Oryzias latipes: one gene and its partners. The main gene of each other region encodes a partner of the protein of the gene in region 2 in a complex. Links are inferred from orthologs where the notes say so. Each region holds a gene or a part of one and is shown on either strand. Other genes may lie near its edges.

Region 1 (2,915 bases), about 4.9 Mb from region 2:
CAAGGATTTTTTTTGTCAGTGCAGGATAGTTATTTACCAACATTTTTCATTTTTGTCAAGATTCACCAGCTTTGTCCAGTCTGAATGAAAGTTTTGTGAACATCGCAAAGGAAAATGACTTTAAGGTGATGAGCTTCGCAGAATCGCAGGCCACAAACGTCGGACCTATGATCAAAATAGTTGTGGTGCCAAAACAGTCCGCAGGTATGCAACACCAGCGTCAATAAGAAATGAGGTATTCCTCTGTACTGTAGATGGAGATATGAAAGCCTGGTTTCGTTTCAGACCTCGGCATCGGAGAACTCGTCGAGGTAAACGTGGATCACCTCAACATCTGCAAGCCAGAGAAGAAGGATTCGTTTCTGTACAAACGCAGCCTCCAGTTCATCCAGGAGGCCTTGCAGAGTTTTAGCAGCCAGTGACTCTTTATCCGCACAAAGACAATGATGCAGACTACTGCATACTTGAACTGTGGAGAGAAAAAATATGCACATGCCCCCCTTCCGGGATGTCTTTTGTTAAACATGAACAAATAATGTGAAGTGTGAGGGATCACTCAATATTTAGACTAACTTAAATGAAAACTTTCAGCTCTGATAACGAGACTTATTTTTAACTCACTCCTCATGAATAACTTAATTGTAAATCGGATCACTTTTGCAAATAATATTTTTACAGTTTTTTGTCATGTTTAGAGTTGGAAACAGATTGTTAATATTTTAATTATTATTCTGAGATGTAATACTTACGTAAATGATCTGTAATATTCTGAAAAGAATTTCTTCCCCGCATTTATTTTTATATTTGAGAGTTTTATCCCCCAAAAAGCACAATGTCAGTCATAATTGGTGCCAAAATGTATTTCTTTTCCTAAGCCTTACCATAGACTCCTCCTTGTCTATTTAAAAAAACATTTATTTTTTTTAAGTAATGATGTGATTGAATTTTGCCGTAGCACAATTGCCACTAAAAATTCCCATCGCTGTCAATAAATTACTGAAAAATCTCAGTTTCATTTGTGTTTTTGCTAAATATTAAATTAGGGTTTTTACACTGGAAATATTGCTTTTTATTTTTTACAGCCTACAATGCTGTTTTTTGGGCAATATAAGTTAAGTTTTAGCCAAGATTTTGCAAAATAACATTTTGATAGCTTCAGTTTAATTTCCTTTAAAGTTTTTTGCGGAGCAACTTGGTTAGGAATCAAAAACTAAAAAGGAAGCTCTCTATTCTGGTATACGTGATCGTTAGCTTTGATTTTAAACCAAAAAGATTTTTTAAAGAACTTCTAAATCCTGGGAAATGTTTTGGTAATCTTATTTATTTATTATGTTTGTTTCCATGTCAATGAAAGTAACTTCTGCAAGAGTACAAAATCCAAATAAAAAATAAAATAACACTCCACGATTGAAGCTAGCAGCAGTGCGCATGCGTTGCATTGTTGTTGTCGAAGCACAGAAAATTGTCCCTTGACCCGCACCATACAGGGACATGTAGCATCGTGTTAGGAGCCTAGAATTTGTGCTAATATTCTGTCATACATTTACCTTTTATAAAAAGGAATTCTCTTACTTCCACTAACATCTTTCCCGGAACACAGACAGGTTTGTTATTTTAGTGTTGTTGTTTTTTAGCTTTGGTGTATTTTAAAGCATTTTATAATTGTTTTTATCTGAGTCTTGTTTACCTGTGATGATTAGCTTTAAAAAAAAGCGCGTCACAATGAGACTTTTTAACCTTTAAAATCTGTATAGACTTCAAAAACAAACGTTCTATTTTGACAGAGAATTCTTGTTTTACTTGTTTTTATGCGTCAGGTTAAAAAATCCTCGCGTTAAGTTAACATCTCCGCTAAACAAAGGGACCGTTTCTTCGTGAACATGGTGAACGTTCACAAAGGCGTTCTCGTTGAATGGTAAGTAAAGTTTTAACAAACATTATTTTTTTAACAAGTTCTGTAAATTAACATTTTGAGAACTCAATTGTGTCTGATGGGATGTGTTTTATTGAATTAGTGACCCCGCCATGAAACAGTTCCTCCTTTACCTGGATGAGACCATGGCTTTAGGAAGGAAGTTCATCCTGAAGGACCTCGATGACACCCACGTTTTCATCCTGGCAGAGGTGGTCCAAACCCTGCAGGAAAGAGTCGGAGACTTGATGGACCAGAATTCCTTTCCCATCACGCAGAAATAACCTTTGACCTTTCCTAAGGATAATCTTTTTGTTTTGTTTTTTTGAGCTATGGAATGACTGGATTTGTTTCTGACATGCTTTAAAAAAGATCAATAAATTGGATTATGGGTTACATATAACTATCATTACTTGTAGTGATGTAGTTTGTAATTATACCTGCATCCATATTTTTATGGGTATTGGGGTGAGAAAATTTCCAGAAATTCTTTAAAAATGTAAAATATATCTAGCTGTGGTGGTCACGATGCATATTTAAACCCTAGGAAAACTGTACTAGGACTTATTTAAGTTAGTATCCCTCTGCCAGGTATACAATTTTTAAATATTTTAATATTCAGTTTTTAAGACATTTTCATAGACACTTTGCTTTATTTACAAGTCTCCTTACAGCCTCATGTACAAGCAGCACATTTTACAAACACCTGAAGAAAAATCATCTTAAACATAAGTGACATTCCCTTTGAAGAAAAAAAACACAAAATATACACATTTTACAAATTCATAACTCATTTATGAGGAAAAATAAAATGGAAATGCAAGGCACCGTTTAGAATAAAACATGTATTTGTACAGATCTGTTTTTTTTTTTAGATAATTGTAAAATAAACTTATCTGAATGTGCAGTATTTGGAAATGTGTTTAAAAAAATTAAGGAAAATTGTATCATTAAAAAAATTATAAAGGCTAAATTTGGCCATTAATCTGTAATCCATTGACAC
Region 2 (3,277 bases):
AAACAAACACACAGCCCCCCCCCCCCCCCCCCCCTCCAGTTAAACTCACCTTTGATACAAAAAAAAAAAGTTTAGCGTAAAATAAGACAGAAAAACATTTATGTAGCGCTTGTCCAGCTGAAGAAGAAAACTAAAAAGGAACACTTACTGGATAATAAGAGCACAGTTTGGTGCGGCTTTCAGATCTTTCCAAGAACGTCCCGTGAACTTTTAACAATAAATAGATGATGCGCACCCCTCCCCTTCTCTAGTGTGACTGGCATTTTGAGACTGCAAGGTGTGCAAAAGAAAGACGTATGTTGCAGCTATCGCACGCCTGCACCGTCGATCCGCGTCTCACACACAAATGAACAGAAGAGACCTCGCTGCTGCTGATGCTGCTATGGATTTCCTGGACTGACTGAGCTCACGGACGTCGATAAACCCACAGTGCAAGTCCTCCCACGGCTGCAGCTGACTAAAGGAAGAGCGGAGATACACCGGCGTGGCAGCCTCACATCTTCTATGCAATCCCAAAATGAACTTTGGGGCTTTTTGAAAAAAAAAAAAAAAGATGGAATGAAGCTCCAGCAAAACGGGGTTAAACATCTGTGGATTAAAATTGATTTTTGAAGATTGTTTTTGTACCTTGTTTTTCCCAGGAGCCTCGGATCTGACGCTAAAAGATAATTTTTTAAAAAGATTGGACTACATAAAACAATTTGGAGCACCATTTTTCATTTTTCACATGGAAACAAAACTACAACCAAAAAAAAAAGCTGAGTCATTCTAAAAGGCAGCGGTTCTGACTGGTGGCACTAAGTTTGGACTTCCATGAATCCAGTCGACCGATTACAGTGCATTAAAAATGTGTGTCTATCGGGTTATGAGAGACCGCAGAGTTCCTTCTGGTCCGCAACACCTGTACGACATGAAATGACTGTTTTGGGGGAATTTTGTCAGAAGAAGGCAGAAGCCTTAAAGGGAAAAATAAACCAAAAAAGCTCTGTTCACAGGCTCTCCAGTGTCCTGTCGGTTTCTCATCCCGTAAACGCTGGTCGAGTGTTTTTCCACGTGTCATGTCTTACAGCAATCCTTTGGGTTGGATGAGTTCTCAAAGACTCTCGCTTTACCTTCCTGAAGGAGTTCGGACGCAGGATGTGAAAGGACGCTGAAGTATCAGTTTGCTGGATAAAAACAAGTTAGGAGTTCGTGCTTCGCCCGTCTCCCCCGCCTCACCACTCGGCGTCTCCGATGGATTTGGAAAAGACATAATCTCTGCCGTTCAGGTTCATTATCCCGTCTTTCAGGTGGAACTTCCATTTGTTCTTACTTCTGTGGATCTGAGGAGCGAGGAAGAGGAGGAGGAGAAGAATGGGAGAGTTCAGAACAGAGGGATGCTGCTGGAGCTTACCCTGATGCTACACCGCCGATCACTTCCATTGAAAAAGTCTAAGTAACCCTTTTGGGCTTCCGCGGTCAAAACTGTCACATTCACGGGTCGCTACACGTTTTTAAGTCAAGGAAACAATTGAACGCACGCTGAACGTTCAACCAATTGACTCTGCTTTAGTAGGGACGTATGGATGGCGTCCTTTTCAAAACATGGAAGTGCCAACCCTTTGATTAATTGATTATGAGGGAGTAATCAATAACTGTGGCTTGTGCTCGGCTAGAATGACGTCACATCAAGTCTTTCATACATCAGACTGAAGGAAAAAGGCCTGGGGCAAAGATTTGCACTGCTTCAACATTTCAGACCAAGCCTCTTCCAACGGTGAGTGCGTGCACCGGTAGCGACAGTCCAGTGTGAACACCGATGGCTAAACGTGAACGTAGCTTGACGCTCATCTCCTACCTTGTCATACTGGCACACCACGACATTCTCCGTGTCGAACAGCTCCTGGTTTTCATCATCACTGACATCATCTCCACTGTTCAGAGGCTCCTGGTGACCAAAAAACCCAAAGACTTCAAAGATCCACTCCAATCATCTTTTGATCGATTTTCAAAGCGTTCCCAGTGGTCTTTTAAAAATTATTACGCAGCTTTTAACCCCCCCCCCCCAAAAAAAAAAAAAAAATTTGCAGGGCGGCAAAAGTTCATTAGAAATTTGCCTCCGAGTTGTGGGCGGGATCAGTGACGTGGAGCGACCTCATCCCACAGCAGAGGACTTGGAGCAGGAAGCTCGAGGTATTATCTACGTCACAAATACGATCTTTTTAAACCGCAGTTGTTGGTCGATTAAAACGATCAATTTAATAGGTTTATCTTAAGATCCATCCAGGTTTATCTCTTCGAGGCAAGTTGTTCATTGAAACGCCCTACACCATAAAAAAATGTTTCAAAATGAAATGAATACTCAATCTTAGAAAATACCATTTGGATTGAGACTTGGCAGGTTTATTTCACTACAATGTAAAAAACGACCATCACATAGACATGATGTCAGCAAAAAACGATCGGTTCCATCATTCCGGTCCAATGAGTGGAAACACTCAATTTAGCAAAGTCATGTGACCATCCAGTGTGCTAGAATGTTCCCTTTGGATTACCTGGATGTGGAAAAACATTAGTGGTCCAAACTTTAAGAAACTAAAATGTAATCTGATTTGAAATCAACTGTTGTTTACATGTTTGTACACATTTAATTTACACTCAAATATCAGTACCCAGGTGCCGTTCAGTACTCAGGTATTGTTCAGTACTCAGGTAAGTCACACTAGTGGAAGTTTTGGCTAAAGATGGATCTGTTTTAGATCAGCGAACTGGATCGTTCAAACTGAATAAATAGACTTTTAATCGTCTTGGGGATCACAAATTATGACAGGAATCATCTGTGAAATGCTCAGAAATACAATTAGAAGCTTAATTTCCGTTATAAATGCCACAACAACATGTTAAAAACACCATAAACCCTGGACTGGCTCAACACTCACCTCTTCAACTTGCCCGTCTTCCCCACCGGTTTTATCTTTCTCCTCTTCGTCATCTTCGTCGTATTCCTCCTCTTCGTCCTCGTCTTCATCAGAGGACGAGTCTCCAGTTCCATCCAGCTGCACCATCATGGCGGGCTGCTGCGCCTGCGGTTGGGCCTGAGGCTGCTGCTGCGGGGCTGCCGGCTGGGCTGGGGCCTGAGCAGCGGCCACAGCTGCCCCCTGCTGGACCTGAGCTGCTGCTGCCTGGCCGGGCTGCGGCGCCATCGCTGCTGCTTGCATCACCTGGCGGCAGCCAGAGATGAGAGCAGAGTCATTACGTAAACCTAGAGCAACATCCCACAAAAAAAATAATAATTGGG
Region 3 (4,354 bases), on a different chromosome or scaffold from region 2:
GCGGGACTCGGGTCAGCTGAGGAGAATAAATGTCCCACACCTACATGCGTGACAGCTAACGGGGCTTGAACTTTAAACACGCTCGAGCAAAAACAAGATTAGTTTTAGACACACTGAAAATACGTGGGGAAAATGCAACGATAGACGTGTTTGAGATGAACCGGCACCTCGCCTGGATCGTTAGGGAGACCAGGCGGGGGGGGGGGGGGGGGGGGGGGGGGGGGGGGGGGGCACTGTGAGATGAAGGCGAATCTGCAGCAAGACTGAAGGACAACAGTTGGAGTTGTCCTTAACATTCAATTTAGTTTTAATATTCTTCTCCCCCTTAGTATGATCTGTGTTATTATATATTTTATGATTATTTTAATGTTTTGTGATGTATGTAGCCTTTTTAATGAATTGGTATTTTAAATTATTTTAATTAATCACTCCACTACAAAAACCATCAGGACACATGTCCCATAATGCATTGTTTTGTAGTCTCTAGTTTCCAGCTGTGTCCGGGTAGGTTTGCCCCTTGCTCCCACCCCTTTCTCGCGATATTTTTGTGATGATTGACAGTTGATGTTGGAGCAAAAACAAAAATATATGTCTCACACCAGGTGATCTGTGCAGCGTTGAGTTCACCTGGGTGATCTCAAACACACTTATTGTGCATCTTGGCTGCACCTATTTGGTGTCACAAAGATAAATTTCCATCTGTTTTCTTTACTATTTGTACTGTCATGACAGCGATGGTGCTGTCAGTTTACCTTCTTGTTGCATCTTCAAAAGTGAAGAATAAAATGTGACACTGAATTTGAAACAGCACATTTTAATTTCTGCATCTATTATTAAAGTATTTATTAGTAATACAGTGGAAATGAATAGATTTGGTTAGCATGTTGATTTACGGTATGCGCCCCTAGAATTTTCAGTTAGGGGCCACAGTGCTCCTAGTGAAAAAAGTTAGTCTGGAGCCCTGATGTGGCATAAAAATCAGAAGCTCCTACTAAAACTGAAGGACCTGCAGCCCAAACCAGCCAACGCAGACTCACCGGCTCCTCCACCTCCCCTGACGTGTGCTGTGCTTCAGCCTGCAGGTCGATGGGAGGCGCGTCCTCCACAATCCTCTGCACGGACATCTGGATGAACTCATCGAAGGAGTCCAGCTGCTGCCGCACCAAACCCTTCTCATCGAAGTACGAGCTGCAGAACAGACAGCAGTTCAGGAAGAGCTCGGAGAGCTGCAGCGGATCAGAACCGTCTGCGTCACATCCTGCACCAGAAACTCACAGAACCGATGATTAAAAGAGATGACTGAAGAGGCTTAAAGTGTAAAAGATGATCAGAAAAAGGTTCAACTTTTCCTTTGTTTTTTATTGAACTCTATCTAAACAGCAGTTTGGGTTTCTGATGCAGAACGCTCTGGTGACTGCGTGACTGCTGCGTGTGCGGCAGCAGAAACCCACTCATGTTTTGTCACAGTGGGCCTGACAGGTGAGCTTACCTGATGACGATCCAGCATGCTTCCTGCCACAGATCTGGGGTGATTTCATCATCGTCTTCATCATACTGGTTATCTAACAGACACAGAAATGATGAGGCCACATCCACACTAAGACATTAAAGGTAACTGACAGCAGCTGGTCATCAACACTGAGCTGTTGGTTCCTTAGGGTTACGCTCTAGTTAGTTTGGTGGGTGTCCGTCATCGGTCTGGACTGCAAATAAAGGTTTGTTTGTATATGACTGTGTTATCATGACAGAGGGAGTGAGGGTTTATGTTCATATTCCTTCTCTACATCCTAACTACTTAAAAAACTATCTATTGCCCTGGTTATTAAAGCCAATTAAAGCCATGTTTACTGCTTTTCTTTTATGGCAAATATGACATTTTATGACGTAAATCTGAACATGTTTGATGATGACCATCATCATCATCATGATGATGGTTAATAGAAATTCCTTTAAATACTTTTTTTTCAAATGAAAAATTGTTCAAACGCAATGCATTGTGGTCCAAATTCACCAATCAAGTGACCATCAAGGCACACTGGTTTTTCGCAGAGACTTCTGGGAAATTTCTAGCGATCTGGATTTTGGAATTGTAGATTTGGATTATTCGGACAGTCACTTAACCAGAATCAGTGAGCGTGTTTACAGGTTAACAAACAGACTGAACAGATGTTAAAGCCACTCAGCTGCTGCTCCTGCTGCTGTGGAGCGGCGCTGCTCCTGCACGGCAGTCACCTCCCACAGCATCCCACTGACCAGGGAGGGTGGTGGGCCCATTCCCAGAAAACAGTCTTCTTCTTCTTCAATTCTCCAACTATTCAATGATGACCATATTGGTGAACAAACATTTCTGGTTTGGCATAAAATACTTCAAAATATCGCGACAAAGTGCTAATGTTTCCCCCCAGCCGGACTGACTAAAGTTATTTGCGTGTTTCCTAGTCTGCTCGTTTTCCACGCGTGTTTTTCCCCCCTGGTTACTACGTGCGTCTCGGTTTTAAGAGTCTGTTCAACTACAGAAAGTCCGGTTCCAGAAACTTGCTGCATGCAAAGAAGCTTCAGACAGGTTTTGGTTGAACAACATGGAACATCATGATCATGGATGGAGGAGACGTTCGCCATGCGTGAGCGTTCACGCGCAGCTCTAACGGCGCTGCGTGGAATCCGCGCCTCACCTTCGTCCTGGTCGTACATGATGGCTTCCGAAAATCCCTCAAAACAAAGACGGCTTCAGAAAAAAGAAGACAAAAACACGGAGAAGCGGCGCGCAGCCTGACACAGAGACCCGGAAACACTTCTTCTTTTTCTGCGGGGTTTCCGGTGTTTGGCGGTCATCTGCTGTGACAGCGCCCCCTGCGGTTGAGGCCAAGAACAGCAGTGTGCGAAGTGCAGTTAGTAAAACAAATGTAACAATAATAAATCAGACATCAAAGCTAACTATAGATACTTAACATTTTACTCTAATATCATTAGGTTTTCCCTTCAATCAGTGTTCAACTTACAATGTTTAAATATCCATAAATTCAAGAAATTGTAGAAGGAAACTTTTGTTTCTCAATATGGAGATGAGAGGACTTACAGGTCATTTTGTGTTCATGTAAATCCCAAATATAAGGATGTGTGAACTTATAACTAATGTTTTTGTTGATAATCAATGACGCTTGGTAGTGCATCTTAATGGTCTAATGTAACGTGCATGTGTTCTGTATGCATTAATGCAAAGCATCTATTTATAATTATGAATAAACACACTGTCAATATGATAGCATCATCTCATTACATCTTTTTTCTTATCAATTATTACTTTTTATCTGAAATGGATTTAATCTGTTTAAATTTTGGATTTCTGTTCTTTATTGTATAATTCCATGATTTCAATACTTAAAATGAATCATAAAATTAACTATAAAAAAATAATCACTGCAGTTTAACAAGAGGCCAAGTGGACTTCACTTCCTGCCGGAAGCCTTTCCTCTGTGTTGATTAGAAAATAATGAAGTCACAGGACTTTTTTGAAAGGATTTTAAGTATGTTTGATTAAAATTAACAGTAAATTTGAACAAATTGACAAACATCCAGAAAGTGAAGCTTTTAGTAAAACATGAGCAGAGATGCAGCAGGTTTTACATCTGATCCGTTTTCCTAACATTATTTAAGTTCACTATCAGAGGTTTTAAGGTGTTTCTGTAAAAAAGAAGATGGTAGAACCCAAATAACGTATAAATCCAGATCCATCTGAAACAGACGTAGCCTGTAAGTGTTACAACCCTCTGCTACATAGTGGAGGGAAAAGCAGAAACTCTTCTATTGATTGAAAGATTGTCTAAAAATGAGATTTTATTTTTTCTAGTACTGTTGGGAATTTTATGTAAAACCAGAGTTTTATAACGATCTATTTTCTGTACCATCAGTGAATGGAGTCTTTGATGAGGAAAAGCTTAGTCATCACAAACGGTCCTATTGTTGCAGCTTTTAATCCCCCTCCCAACACCTACAGAACAATTCTAATCTTTGTAGATAATCTGGGTTAGCTAGAACTGTATTTTTCATAATTGACACATCAGAAGAGAGAGAACTCCACCATCAACTGCAGCTCATGTGAAGGACGTGATGTGATGGATTTGAATGCCACTCTAGACGCTGCAGGAGGACCAAGAACCACAGAAAGGAAGGGATTCAACCATTTATACAGAATTCCTTTTTACAAAACTGATGTTTAGTGTAAAGCTGCAGGGGGTGGAAGTCCAACATTGATAGAAATCACGAGTCATGGTAAACGGAGAAATAAATGCTGCATTATCCAAAACTACTTGTAAAAAGTTAAATTTTTTAATAGTTTAACATAAAATGACTTGAA

The links.
Region 1: gtf2a1 (region 2) and gtf2h5 share a complex: the UniProt entries of both Homo sapiens proteins name them as parts of the TBP-based Pol II pre-initiation complex. The link is inferred for Oryzias latipes from reciprocal best matches to the Homo sapiens genes GTF2A1 and GTF2H5.
Region 3: gtf2a1 (region 2) and polr2b share a complex: the UniProt entries of both Homo sapiens proteins name them as parts of the TBP-based Pol II pre-initiation complex. The link is inferred for Oryzias latipes from reciprocal best matches to the Homo sapiens genes GTF2A1 and POLR2B.

The regions. Positions count from the first base shown.
Region 1 is NC_019882.2:9,073,221-9,076,135, forward strand, and holds gtf2h5 (general transcription factor IIH subunit 5), read left to right. Parts: upstream 1-1,463; 5' UTR 1,464-1,604; intron 1,605-1,817; 5' UTR 1,818-1,880; coding exon 1,881-1,915; intron 1,916-2,015; coding exon 2,016-2,196; 3' UTR 2,197-2,321; downstream 2,322-2,915. Other genes in the region: protein SERAC1, read left to right, coding at 61-204, 286-422. UniProt on the Homo sapiens protein: Component of the general transcription and DNA repair factor IIH (TFIIH) core complex, which is involved in general and transcription-coupled nucleotide excision repair (NER) of damaged DNA and, when complexed to CAK, in RNA transcription by RNA polymerase II.
Region 2 is NC_019882.2:4,167,584-4,170,860, forward strand, and holds the end of gtf2a1 (transcription initiation factor IIA subunit 1), read right to left. Parts: intron 3,201-3,277; coding exon 2,919-3,200; intron 1,928-2,918; coding exon 1,838-1,927; intron 1,323-1,837; coding exon 1,215-1,322; 3' UTR 629-1,214; downstream 1-628. UniProt on the Homo sapiens protein: TFIIA is a component of the transcription machinery of RNA polymerase II and plays an important role in transcriptional activation. TFIIA in a complex with TBP mediates transcriptional activity.
Region 3 is NC_019868.2:3,851,936-3,856,289, forward strand, and holds the start of polr2b (DNA-directed RNA polymerase II subunit RPB2), read right to left. Parts: upstream 2,808-4,354; 5' UTR 2,692-2,807; coding exon 2,673-2,691; intron 1,563-2,672; coding exon 1,490-1,562; intron 1,189-1,489; coding exon 1,038-1,188; intron 1-1,037. UniProt on the Homo sapiens protein: Catalytic core component of RNA polymerase II (Pol II), a DNA-dependent RNA polymerase which synthesizes mRNA precursors and many functional non-coding RNAs using the four ribonucleoside triphosphates as substrates.